Rattus norvegicus: one gene and its partner. The protein of the gene in region 2 interacts with the protein of the main gene of each other region in a pairwise test. Links are inferred from orthologs where the notes say so. Each region holds a gene or a part of one and is shown on either strand. Other genes may lie near its edges.

What was found.
Region 1: the proteins of Ipo13 (region 2) and Pbx4 interact in binary tests that used the Homo sapiens proteins (3 or more experiments, as listed by UniProt). The link is inferred for Rattus norvegicus from reciprocal best matches to the Homo sapiens genes IPO13 and PBX4.

The regions. Positions count from the first base shown.
Region 1 is NC_086034.1:19,592,246-19,597,883, forward strand, and holds part of Pbx4 (pre-B-cell leukemia transcription factor 4), read right to left. Parts: intron 4,080-5,638; coding exon 3,838-4,079; intron 3,568-3,837; coding exon 3,377-3,567; intron 1,877-3,376; coding exon 1,741-1,876; intron 1-1,740.
Region 2 is NC_086023.1:136,735,374-136,741,653, forward strand, and holds the start of Ipo13 (importin-13), read right to left. Parts: upstream 4,106-6,280; 5' UTR 3,466-4,105; coding exon 3,382-3,465; intron 1,693-3,381; coding exon 956-1,692; intron 1-955. UniProt on the Homo sapiens protein: Functions in nuclear protein import as nuclear transport receptor. Serves as receptor for nuclear localization signals (NLS) in cargo substrates.

The DNA of each region.
Region 1 (5,638 bases), on a different chromosome or scaffold from region 2:
TGGAACTGTCTGTGTAGACCAGGTTATCCTTGATCCGCCTGCCATCTCCTGAGGGCTGGGATTAAAGGGATGCTCTGCCAGGCCCAGCCCTGTATTTTCTTTTTGAGATGAGGATCTAGCTGTGTTACCCAGAGGGAATGGGACCCTGGGTTCGAGTGACCTCCCTGTGTAGCTGGGACGCAGGCTACCCAACTGCTCGGCTCAAACGAAGAACAGACTTTCAGTGTGGATAAGTCAGGCGTCTGGGCACTGCTGAGAGGGAGTCGAGGACTCCGTAACTGGCAAGAAACTGTCTTCACAGGGAGACCCCACCTCAGCCTCAGCTCAGCTCCTCTTGGGGCTTCCTCAGCCTGAGGTGCCCTAACCATGTTTGCTTCCTTCCTCTTGATTTCTGAGGTGCACCTCATGGCCTACTCACTTGCACCCCAAATTCAAAACCTCAGTTAATGCGGCTGGCCACGTTAGTCCTGACACCTACTAGGGGATGTGACAAAGTGGGGTGGAGCTTCTAGAACTCAGTTGGTGGGGATGGTCCCAGGGCCCAGGTCACCCAGGAGACCCTGCAATGTGGCAAGGCCTTTGAACCTGGCTTACTTTGCTCTCTGGAGGACCTGGCACCAAAGACAAGGAGCCCCGGGCACGAGGGTGGGGTGGGTCTGCCTGTTATGCACACTGTCCCAGGTGCCCAAACACCCACACTGGCCGTCCTTCCCAGAGGGATAGCACTTCCCTCAGCTCTGGCCACATGAGGAGCAGGCAGCTGTGCCTGGATCCTCTATGACCCTGGGCTGAGGACAGTGCCTAAGGGCGGGACACTCACCCTTTCCAGCTGTGAAGCTAGGAGGGATAGGGCATGTGACAGGCTGTGGTGACTAATGTCAGTCTCAGTGTCCATCACCACTGGGTGGCAGAGGTAGAGGAGCTCTGCTCTTGTGACCCGAGACCTGGGCAGGCCCACTCTGCAGCTCACACTCCTTGCTCCAGGGCTCTGCCCCACCTTCCTGCCACTGCGCTGCTGCCTGAACTCACTCTGAAACCTTCAGGAATGCTCTCCTTGCACTCTGGCCTTTGCTCGCTCCCTCCTTTGCCTCGAATTCCAAGGAAGGCAAAGGTGATTGTTGCCAAGCCACAGGGTCAGGAATCTCACTCCCCCACGGGAGCTCATGCCACCCACTGCTCCTGCCGCAAACACGTCCTGGAGCCTGAGCTGCTTCAGTCTCCTAGAGCTCACACCGGTGCCTTGCGACACCATGACACTCTTACACTTCTCTGCAAGGAGAGGGAGCAGAGTCCCCACCAACATTCTAATTCACTGTGCACAGCTCAGACTGGAGCTGAGCCAGGTTGAGGCACATGACCAGCACTGCACATTGATTAACTTCCCCAGGAGTCCTCCCCACACAGTACCTTCCCAGGAGTCCTCCCCACACAGTAACTTCCTTGGTGTCCTCCCCACACAGTAACTTCCCAGGAGTCCTCCCCACACAGTAACTTCCCAGGAGTCCTCCCCACACAGTAACTTCCCAGGAGTCCTCCCCACACATTCAATAATTTTCCCAGGAGTCTTCCCTTCTCCCACATTAACTTACTTTCCTAGGAGTCCTCCCCCCACAGTAAGAGCTTCCTGGGGAGTCTTCATCATACATTAAGTAACTTCTCCAGCAATCCTCCTCAACATCGAGTAGTTCTCCAGGAGTTTGTCCTCATAAGACTTAACTTCCTCAGGGCAGGAGGGCTCACCTGGGACACTGTGATGCCACCCTTCCTGGCCAGCTCTTCCTTGGTCTCTTCACTGGGGTAAGGGTTGCTCAGATGGGAATAGAAGTATTCATTCAGCACCTCGGTGGCTTGCTTGCTGAAATTCCGCCGCTTGCGCCTACAGACAGAGATGCTCAGTCTGTAGCACTCTCATGGGGCAGAGTCACAACTCTCGTGTCCCTAATGTCCTGGCAGCCTATGTGTGTGTGCACGTGCAGGCCAGAGGCTGATGCGCTGTGTCCTCCGTCACTCTCCACCTTGCTTCTTTGAGGCAGGGTCTCTCACTGAACCTGGAGCCCAGTGATTGGGCAGACTGGAGAGCAGCAGGCCCCAGGGACCAGCCTTATCCATGTGGCCAGTGCCTGGCTGCAGCAGCTCTTGGCTTTAAAAGACCTGTATGTGTGAGTGAGTGTGCGAGAGTGTGTGCTTGTGTGCAAGATTGTGTGTGTGTGTGAGTGCATGCATGTGTGTGTGTGTGAATGTGTGTGTATGTGTGCATACTTCTGGTGTGGGAAGCCAGACCAGACCAACCAAGATTTTCACAGAGATCTGATGACAGAGAGCGCTAGTTCTGTGTACCTGCCCAGCTTGGCAAGGCCGGGCCAGTGCCTCAGAGAAGCCAAGGCTGCAGCTCTGGGGACCAGGCTGTTCCCCTGGGCTGTGGCTATTGGTCCTTAACCAGCCGTGTCTGAGAACCCTGTGTATTCTTTGCCAACACTGCCTGACTTTGCTCTCTCCCAGACTTCCATTTCCCCTCTGCAAATAGTAGATAGGGCAATATATTCCTGGACAAACCTGCTTAGCATAAGCCATCACTTATGCAGGGTCTCCTGGCCCCAACTATTGCTTATTCTCCTCTTGGCCCTGCCCCACTTGATACTTCACCGTTCAGGACCCTTATTCCTGCAGGTTCATGTCACTCTGGGGTCAAATTAAGGTCCTGAGACTTTTGCAGCAAGTTCCCTTACCCCCTGAACCATCTTGCTGGCCCATGCCTGGCTTTTTCTGTGGGTGCTGGGTATGCAAACTCAGGTCCTTCTGGTCGCATGGTGAGCACCTGACTGAGCGAGCTGCCTCCCCATCCTCATCTTCTGCAGTTTTAGACACAGCAATCGGGCTTGACATGCCTCAGTGGGTAATGAACATGTATGAAGACCTGAGTCTGGGTTCCCTGAACCCATGTGGGAGCCATACATGTTAGTGCATGTCTGTAGTTATGGGGCTCCTGGGGCAGGATGGGAAGTGGGCAGCTGGTCTGGAAGTCACAGTGGAAAACAAGAGAGAACCTGCCTCAAGCACGGTGGAAGAGGGACACCAGTACCCGAGGCTGTCCTCTGATGCCATTCACATACACAAATGAAAATGAACCAGCAGTCTGTACTTTGGGTCTTCTCCCAAAAAAGCTGTGTGGGGCCTGGCTGGATGCTCTGGACGGACTTAAACTCAAGACAGAGCGGGGCTGGGGCTCAGTGGTAGGGACAGCATGTGGTTAGCGCTTGCAAAGCCCTGAGTCCCATCTTCAGCAACACTATGACAAACTCCAGAGCCATCCCACTCCGATCCTGCTTCTGTTCCTAAGGGCCAACCCTTGGGGACCCCAGTGGCATGCAGCCCTGACCTGGCATCCAGGAACCGTGAGCGTAGGGTCATCACAGCCTCACAGGTGCTCTGTTTCAGCTGCCTCTGGATGGCACTGAACTTGCTGTGAATGGTGCTCACCATGTGCTCGATCTCCCCGGAGGACACGGGCCTCACCCTACTCTGTTCCCGGAGAAGGTTGGTGACGTGCGTGGTGAACTCACGACAGGCCTGGGGTGGGAAAAGATGGGCCAGTCTGTGACTCAGCAGCCAGGTGGTGCAGGGCAGTAAGGCTCCACAGCTGACCACATCTGCCACCCCCACAGCTCACACTCAGGTCACCTCTGAGGAGGGAAAGGCGCTTTCAGTGACACCAGCCGCCTCTGCAGCAACTCACTGCGGCGGGCTGTCCCTGCTCTGCACAGAGGAGGGGCTCGTGTCCACACCTGCCTGTGGCCAGTGCACATTCACATGACAAACTCTTGCGTGCAGAAAGATCACCTGTTCATACTTCTCTAGCTCTGAGTGGTAAATCTGTCGGATCTGGGACAGCTTGGCCCTGTAGTCTGAGTGTTCAATGCTATTGTCATTTGGGCAGCCACCTGGTGTTGCTGTGCTGCCTGCCGCTGCTCCTCCTCGTCCTCGCTTCTCTGGCCTGGACACACCCTCAGCCAGCAGCATGTTATCCAACCTCAGCAGCTGGGCATCGGGAGGGTCCTCTTCCTGCGTCTGGACGCTCACAGCTGGAGGGAACAGAGGCAGACCAGGATGTGCTCTCTGCAGAGAAAAGTGGCCAGGACCAAGTGGTACTGCACCATGGCTGGGCATCACTTAAAAATATTATGCATACGTGTGTGTGAGTGCAGGTGCCCTGGGAGTCCAGGAAGACCATGTCAGACCCCTAGAGCTGGGGTTCAAGGCAGCTGTGTGTGCCCAGAGTGGGTGCTGGGGACTGAATTCAGTCCTCTGCCAGTGCAGGAAATACGCAGGCCACCCTCCAGGTCCTTTATTACCATTGGATCAGGAACGCCTCGTGACCTACTGGGACGCCAATCCCAGTGCACAGTCCTGGTTGGGGGGAGGACCCTGAGACAGGGCAGCCTGTGTGGGCAGAACTGGACAACCATGTCAGAATACAACCGGGTGGGTTTCAGGGAAGGTGCCTTGTATTAAGAAAGCTTTGGGGGGTTGGGGATTTAGTTCAGTGGTAGAGCGCTTGCCTAGCGAACTCAAGGCCCTGGGTTCGGTCCCCAGCTCCTGAAACAAACAAACAAACAAAACAAAAAAAAAAAAAAAAAAAAAAAAAAAAGAAAGCTTTGAGTGAGCCGAGCATCCTAAGTGCTGGGGGAGGGGGCGCGCTGATGTGGGTGCAGAGGCAGAGGCAGGCGCTGAGCTGGTGGGACGGCTCAGTGGGTAGAGGAGCTCACTGCTAAGCCCCATGGACCCAATCCCCAGGGCGCACGTGGTGGAAGGAGAGCCAAGCCCTGCAACTCATCCTCAAAATACACATGCCTCTCCCTTCCCGCCTACAACATAAATACACGTGAAAAGATATTAAAGGCAAACAGCTTATCACGGGGACCAGGCACAGTATTGTATTGATGTTTCTACTAGGTGCCCGTGAGTGTCAATGTCTCCGTGAATCCGTGAATGTGTGTGTGTCCGTGTGGTGTGTGTGTGTGTGTGTGTGTGTGTGTGTGTGTGTGTGTGTGGTGGGGTGGCACTCGTCCAGTGAGCTGGCTCCTGTTCGTAATTCTGAGAGTGCACACACATGGTGCTGACATACATCCAGGCAAATACTAATACACATAAAATAAGAAATAAAATCTAAAATCACCCCCAACAAATAAATAAACATAGCCATCTTATAAAAGACTGGGCACTGTGGTGTACACCTTTATTCCAAGTCAGCTTGAGACACAGAACAGGCCAATGTCTTGACTTCAGGGCCAGCCTGGTCTATAAAATAAGTTCTAGGCCAGCCTAGGTTACACAGTGAGATCTCAAAATAAAACAAAAATAAGGGAAACCCAATCAAGGAAGGTATCTAATATCAACTCTGACTCCTGCACATGTGTGTACACATGTGCATATATATATACTACATACAGACACATGCATACCACAATACAAATATACTACACACCCTGCACACAGACACACATGCCACACACTCAGCAGACACACACACATACATGCATGCACACACACGCACACATGCACACGCATCCCCACACACGCGCGCACACACATACACACATTATAAAAAGAAAATCTTTAGGCCGGGTGGTGGAGGTGCACA
Region 2 (6,280 bases):
ACCCATCCACCTTCTTTCTGGTCTTTGTACATGCTGTGCCTCTGTCCACTTTGGGGCTTTGCACCTGAAGCTAGAAGCGTTCCTTCTCACCTAATCTCCTTTACCTCCAGTCCTCCCTCATCAGGCAACTCCCATTTTTCATGCACTGAAAAGCTGGTGGCTTCTCTATTTCCTGGGCACAATGAGATGAAAATGATGTGTCCCTGGTCTTGCAGTTGAGTGGCTATTGGGGAGATAGATGCACACGGATATATAAAGGAGTCGCATTACAGGCTTGGAAGGAAAGCCAGGAGCCTCACTTAAGAGCTCAGAGATGACACAGTAGGGAAGACCAAGCTTGGCCTTGAACCCTTGGGAACTTCTATGGAAGTGAGATGAGATTGAAGTTGAATAGGTGATGTGTCAGCCCTGGAGCAGGGCAGTATAGAAGCACAGGAAGTCAGGAGGAGAGTGACGTGAGATGAAGCTGGGCTATGTGCCTCGTGGTGGAGGCATCTTTATGAGTTACACTGGTGATTTTGAACTTCCAAAACAGAGGAGAGCCCCTGGTCAGAAAGTAAAGGCTAGAGCCTCATTTTCAGAAAGTCGCTCTGACTGGTGGGTCATAAAGGGTACAAAGGGTGGGGGAGCAGGGGGCTGCCGAGAAAGTGCTGCTAAAATCTGGGAAAAGAGACAGTGACAGCTGAGATTAGGGTAGTGGCAGCAGAAACTGGAAATAATAGATCTGCAATATGGTCAGGAGCAGAACACCAAGGACTTGGTGACTGGCTGAGGGAAAGAGAACAGGCAAATGTTTATTAAGTCTACCAGATAATTTAGTTGTTTAGTGTCCGCCCCATGTCTCGCCTGCATCCTTGATTTTGTCTCCCTAGGATGAAATGTCTGACAAGACAACCCATTAATGCTTATGGGATAGAGGGGGCTGTCCCTTTCTGGGAAGCTGGAGAGTACTCACCTTTGGGCATCTGGCTGGGAGATAGCATTGACAATGGCCTCCACGCTGCTGTCAAAGAGCTCCGAGTCCTGCAGAGCAGCAAAGGCGGCCTGAATGAGCGCCTCACAGTCCTGCAGGGGCACTTCCAGCTGCACCCAGCTGGAGAAGCACTTGAGCACCTTCTGACGCACACAGCTGGGAGAGCTGGGCTGTTGTAGCAATTGCTCCAGCAATGGGAAGACAGCCCCACACTCCACCGCCAGGCTGGCCCGTACCAGACCTTTGCGGTACTGGGGCAAGCGACTGGTCTGAAACTCCTCAGGCAGTACCGTCAGCAACTCTAGCAGGGCCAGACAACGGCCCTGGCTATCCACCGGAGAGTCCTCAGCTTGGAAGAGCCGGACCATATCTGCCACAGCACATGGCCAAGCGTCAGGCATCATACTGAGAGCCAGTGAGGCCAGCGCCACACATAGCCGAGTCAGCACAATTTTGGAGCCACTGGCAAAGCGGGTGATCTGGGTGAAGAGCTGCGCCTTTAGGCTTTCATACTGGTCGGTGGGGATGTCACTCCAATAGCGAGAGATCTTGATGTGCAGGGCACTGGCCCCAAAGTACTGGATCTCAGGCACCTTGTCTGGCTGTAGTAGCTGCCAGCTGAAATGCCAGGCCTGTGGAGAGACCTGGGCCTGCATCAGCCACTTCTGAGCCAGGTTCTTGTTCTCAATATTGGGGTCGTAGTAGAGCTGGTGCAGCGCCTGCAGGACAGCACAGGACTGAGCAGATGCTGGCTACTCTGGATCCTGCCAGAGCCCAGAACAGAGGGTGTGACTTGATCCTGCAAGATGCTGCCTCTCCCTGACTTGTGGGGAGAAGGAGCGAGCAGGAAGGGAGATCTTGGGGCTTGGCTGACCTTTTGAAAACCTGAATCTTGCCCATGCTCTATCATATTCTCATCTTATAGTGCCACTGGGTTCTGAGAGGGACTCTCCACTGGAAAGCAGAAAAAGTGGGGGCTGGGCTCTTCCCATAGGCAGGTATGTAAGGGCAAGGCCTAGGAGAAAGGAATGGCTTCACAGAGATAAACGTAAGCTAGAGACAAGTACAGAACAGCCTGGAGGGGGCTGGCCCTTCTAGATACAGCTCCTCCCATTGATTCCAACAAGCAAACTCCCATTGCTCCCCGAGGATCATCCCGAGGTCACTCGGAGGCTGGCACTAAAGCCAGTGTGAAATCTGAGAAGAACTGCTTCAGTCCAGGTAGCCCTGGAACAGATACACTAGAAGGGAGGGAAGGGAACGTCTTCAGAGAGTACAAGTAAGCCTCCAATCAGATGATGCAGAGAGGTCTTGGCCAGAAGCAGCCCAAGTAAGCGCCTACCCAGGAGCTGTCAGCAGCAGAATCCCCAGGGCCCAATTCCAATGAGACTTCATGCAGAGAGAAAACAATGGCTCATCTCCCTGGCAGCACATGAAGCCATGTGCCACCATGCCAACACTGTCCAGCCCCAAGGGCCAGGTTCCCCAAATGGACTCCATTCAACTAGGATTAACCAAATCTGTACCCCCCTGAAAGCCAGTTATGGCTACTGTCCCTGGTTCAGCCACTCAGGGATGCAAAAGGGGACAGGAGACAGACACAGAAGAGATGCTTTCTCAACATTTGTTAAGCAAACAAGCCTCAAGAACAGCAAATGTGTTTAAGGGTGCCCCTTGCTAACCAGCAAGGTATCCCTATCTCTCCGGCCATCCCTGGGAGTATGGGGGTGGGTTGGTGGGTGCATTCCTGCATTCCAGGCTGCTGGGAGAAGAATAGAATAAAATAAGATAGCCTGGGCAGTGGAGAAGTACGGAAGGAGGCCATGGCAGAAAGCCATGTGGGCAGGTAGGTAAGGAAGGAAGGGCCCTGTAAAGTTGCCAGCAGAGCCAAGCCCCTTGGACCCAGCACAAAGCAAGAGAGCCAGACACACTCCTGCCTGCCCAGGACCGGTTTGACTTCCATCCAATAAGGAAAAGACCCTTTCTGAAGATGAATGAAAAACTAAGTCAGACGGTTTTAGTTCCAGATATCTTTGTGTGCCTTTGACTGAAAAAAAGTGAGTCGGGTCCAGGACAGCTCAGCATCAGTGTGGTTTCTAAGGTGGGGGTGGGGGATGGCAGATCTTGTGAGTTCCTAAGTCTAAGCCCTTCGGCACCCTAACCCTTTAGGGTTTAACAATCTAAGATGCTAGAATATCTATCTGAAAGGGGACCTGCGTCTACAGAAAGCCAAAAATAGCCCATTAGGCACTGCAACACTGCTGTCCAAGAGAGACGGTAAATACCAGGTGCTCTGGGGGCATCATCCCAGCGGGCACTGAGCCCAGCCAGGCCTGAGCTCTGGCATTAGTGTCAGTCCCCAGAACTTCTGCTCTGTCACTGAAGTGCCCACCCCAAGGCCCTCATACCTTCTCCACGTTCTCCACAGTGAAGTCCAAGGCTGGTGCTGCTCCAGCCCCTGCAGCCCCCAGCTGCTCCTCCCGCCGCTCCATTTTTGCTCCCTGCCTGGCAGGGAGGTGGACCCTGATCTCTCTCTTGCCCCAGCCCTTTTGGCTGTCAGCCCCCTGCTAGACCCCGGCTTGAGTACCCAGGAAGCGATGGGATGAGGGGATGCCCAGGGCGGGCATGGCTGCCGAGGCCTGCCCACCTCCTTTGGTGGTAGTGGGGTGGGGGTGGGGGTTGCAGAGGTCAAAAGATGTGCTCTTCGGAGGGGATCCGCGCTAAGGCGGCTCCCAAAAGGGAGGCCTCAGTGAGGTGCTCTCAGACAAGGGTCCTAGTGGGAGGTCACGGCTCTGTCCCTTGAATCAAAAGTCATAGGGGAGGAAGGCCTACAGGGGAAACAGAGGCCCTGGCCCGTGAGGGGTCACAGGGTCAACGGCCTGTACCCATAACACCCTAGTCTGGATGAGCTTCTAGATGCTGTGAGGTCAGGGGGCTGGGAGATCACCCTGGAGAGAGCCCTTCGCGAGATACGGAGACATCCAAGGAAGCACAGGGTTGCAGTTTCGTGAGTCTGGGGCAGAGTCGGTAGAGTTGAGGGGCTGAGCTAGGTTCCCTCCGTTCTCCTGGCCCGCGATATGCTCGCCTCCCGGCTTTGGCCCCGCTATGGTCGCTGCCTCCGCCCCAGTGACTGACAGACGGGCCGGCCCGGCCGGGACGGGGCGGGGACCTCAGCAAGACGCGGGCTGACCGGAGCGCCTGTCCCCAGTACCACCAATTCAGGCCCCCACCCACGCCTGTCCTGGCCCGGCACGGCCAAGCACATCCAGGTTCGGCATGGCGGAACTGCGCGGAAACTCATTCCGGGTCTTTGGCCCTGTTCTCGTGCTAGCTCGCGCGCCCCGGAACAGGCGAAGGAACGGCACACCGCCAGGGGCCCCTGCCCGAAGCAAGGACCCGCCCCTATGCACCTTGGGAAACGTAGTTTCCGCCCGACCGGAAGGCGGCCGGTGAGGAGGGAGTCTCGGAGCACGTGGGTTGGGGTCCTATGGAGCCCTATCCTATTCTCGGCTTACGGCAGAGGACCATCTTGCTCAGTCACATTGCCTAGGAGTGCAACTCCTGCGAAGACATGATTCTTGGGATGCTTGTAGATGGAGTTGGAAGCCAAGAAAAGAGGGGAGAGGGTCAAGTACGGCCGGCGCTCAGGCATAGGGAACTGGTGGTTTTGATGAACTATCAGTACCCGCCAAAGAAGAAGAGATAGGAGTTACTTGGTGCCCCACAATTTAAGAAAAAAAAAAAAAAAAAAAGCACTATGGATCAGCTTGTGAGCAACCAGGAAATCATATCCGTTCGCGCGCGCGCGTTTGTGGGGTGTGTGTGTGTGTGTGTGTGTGTGTGTGTGTGTGTGTGTGTGTGTGTGTGTGTGTGTGGAGAGAGAGAGAGAGAGTTTAAGGGAGGGGAGGAGAAGGGAGGGGAGGAGAAATCGTAAGGTTTTCATTATATTTCACGCTGTGGTGGGTTGGTTTGTTTTGAGATGGAATCTCTTACCAGGGGTGGTGGTGCAAACCTTTAAACCCAACACTCCCGGGGATTACAGGAGTGTGTCACCAAACTGGGTGTCTGAGATGCTATGAATCTCACCTAAGCACTGTGCACCCTGTCAGCTGGACCACATCCTCCACCTTCTTTGTTTTCAAGTGGGGATCTCACAGGCTTGAGGTGGGTGTTTTTATTCATTGTCCTCAGCTAAAATGGAAAAGTCAAGGTTGGAGGAAGAAGGCAAGCCCCTGCTCCCAGCATGCACTTCTTCTGCCGCCTCAACTTTTCCTTTCATTGACTCCTGTCAGCAGGGAAGAAAATTATTTCAAATGGAAGGATCTTTCTTTTTGCTTTGATTTTTTCCTTTTTTCTTTTCTTTTCTTTTCTTTTTTTTTTTTTTTTTTTTTTTTAAGACTGGGTTTCTCTGTGAGTCCCTGGCTGTCTTGAAACTCTGGCTTCCAACTAACTGATACCCACCTGTCTGCTCCAGAGTGCTGGAATTAAAGGTATGCACCATCACTCCCAGCCTAAAACTTTTTTTTAGACTAAATTATATTAAATTTGATTTGGGTTTACTGTATGGCTTCTCCCTCCTTATTGACTAAACTTTTCCCAACACAGCCTGCCATACCATTAGGAGGAGCAAACATTTTGTAAACCTGGGGAGGAAACAGATTAAGACAAGGACTGGAGACAACCATACAGGACCTTACATGTGTCCTACCACACTAGGCTACACTTGTGCTCTAAGGGAGGAAGCTGGCGCTGGAAGGAGCCTCTGAGGCCAGAGAAGGTCGATGAACACTTCCCAAAGGAGAAGAAACTTGATAAGATCTTGAAGAATTCTCAAAGCCTGGGAAGGAGAATGACTCACTTAGCTGCTAAAAGAAGTCTATCCATCGAAACTAGTCAGCAAATCATTGCCCCCCCCCCAAAAAAAATTACAGTGTTTTTAAAAGAAGCCAATTGGATCCCTGTGAGTTTGAGACCAGCCTGGTCTACACAGTGAGTTCCAGGACAGCTAGAGCTATAAGACCCCGTCTCAAAAACAACAAAAGCCAAAACATTTTAAAGAACACTAGTGACTGCGAGTCTGCTTAAGGGACACTGTGAGGAGGGGTTGGGGATTTAGCTCAGTGGTAGAGCGCTTGACTAGGAAGCACAAGGCCCTGGGTTCGGTCCCCAGCTCCAGCTCCGAAAAAAAAGACCCCCCCCCAAAAAAAAAGGGACGCTGTGAGGATGTGGAGGAGGGAGGGGATGACTGACAGGTGGTTGTGAGGAGCAGTGCAGGGCGGTAAAACCCTGCAGGAGTGTAGACATGTC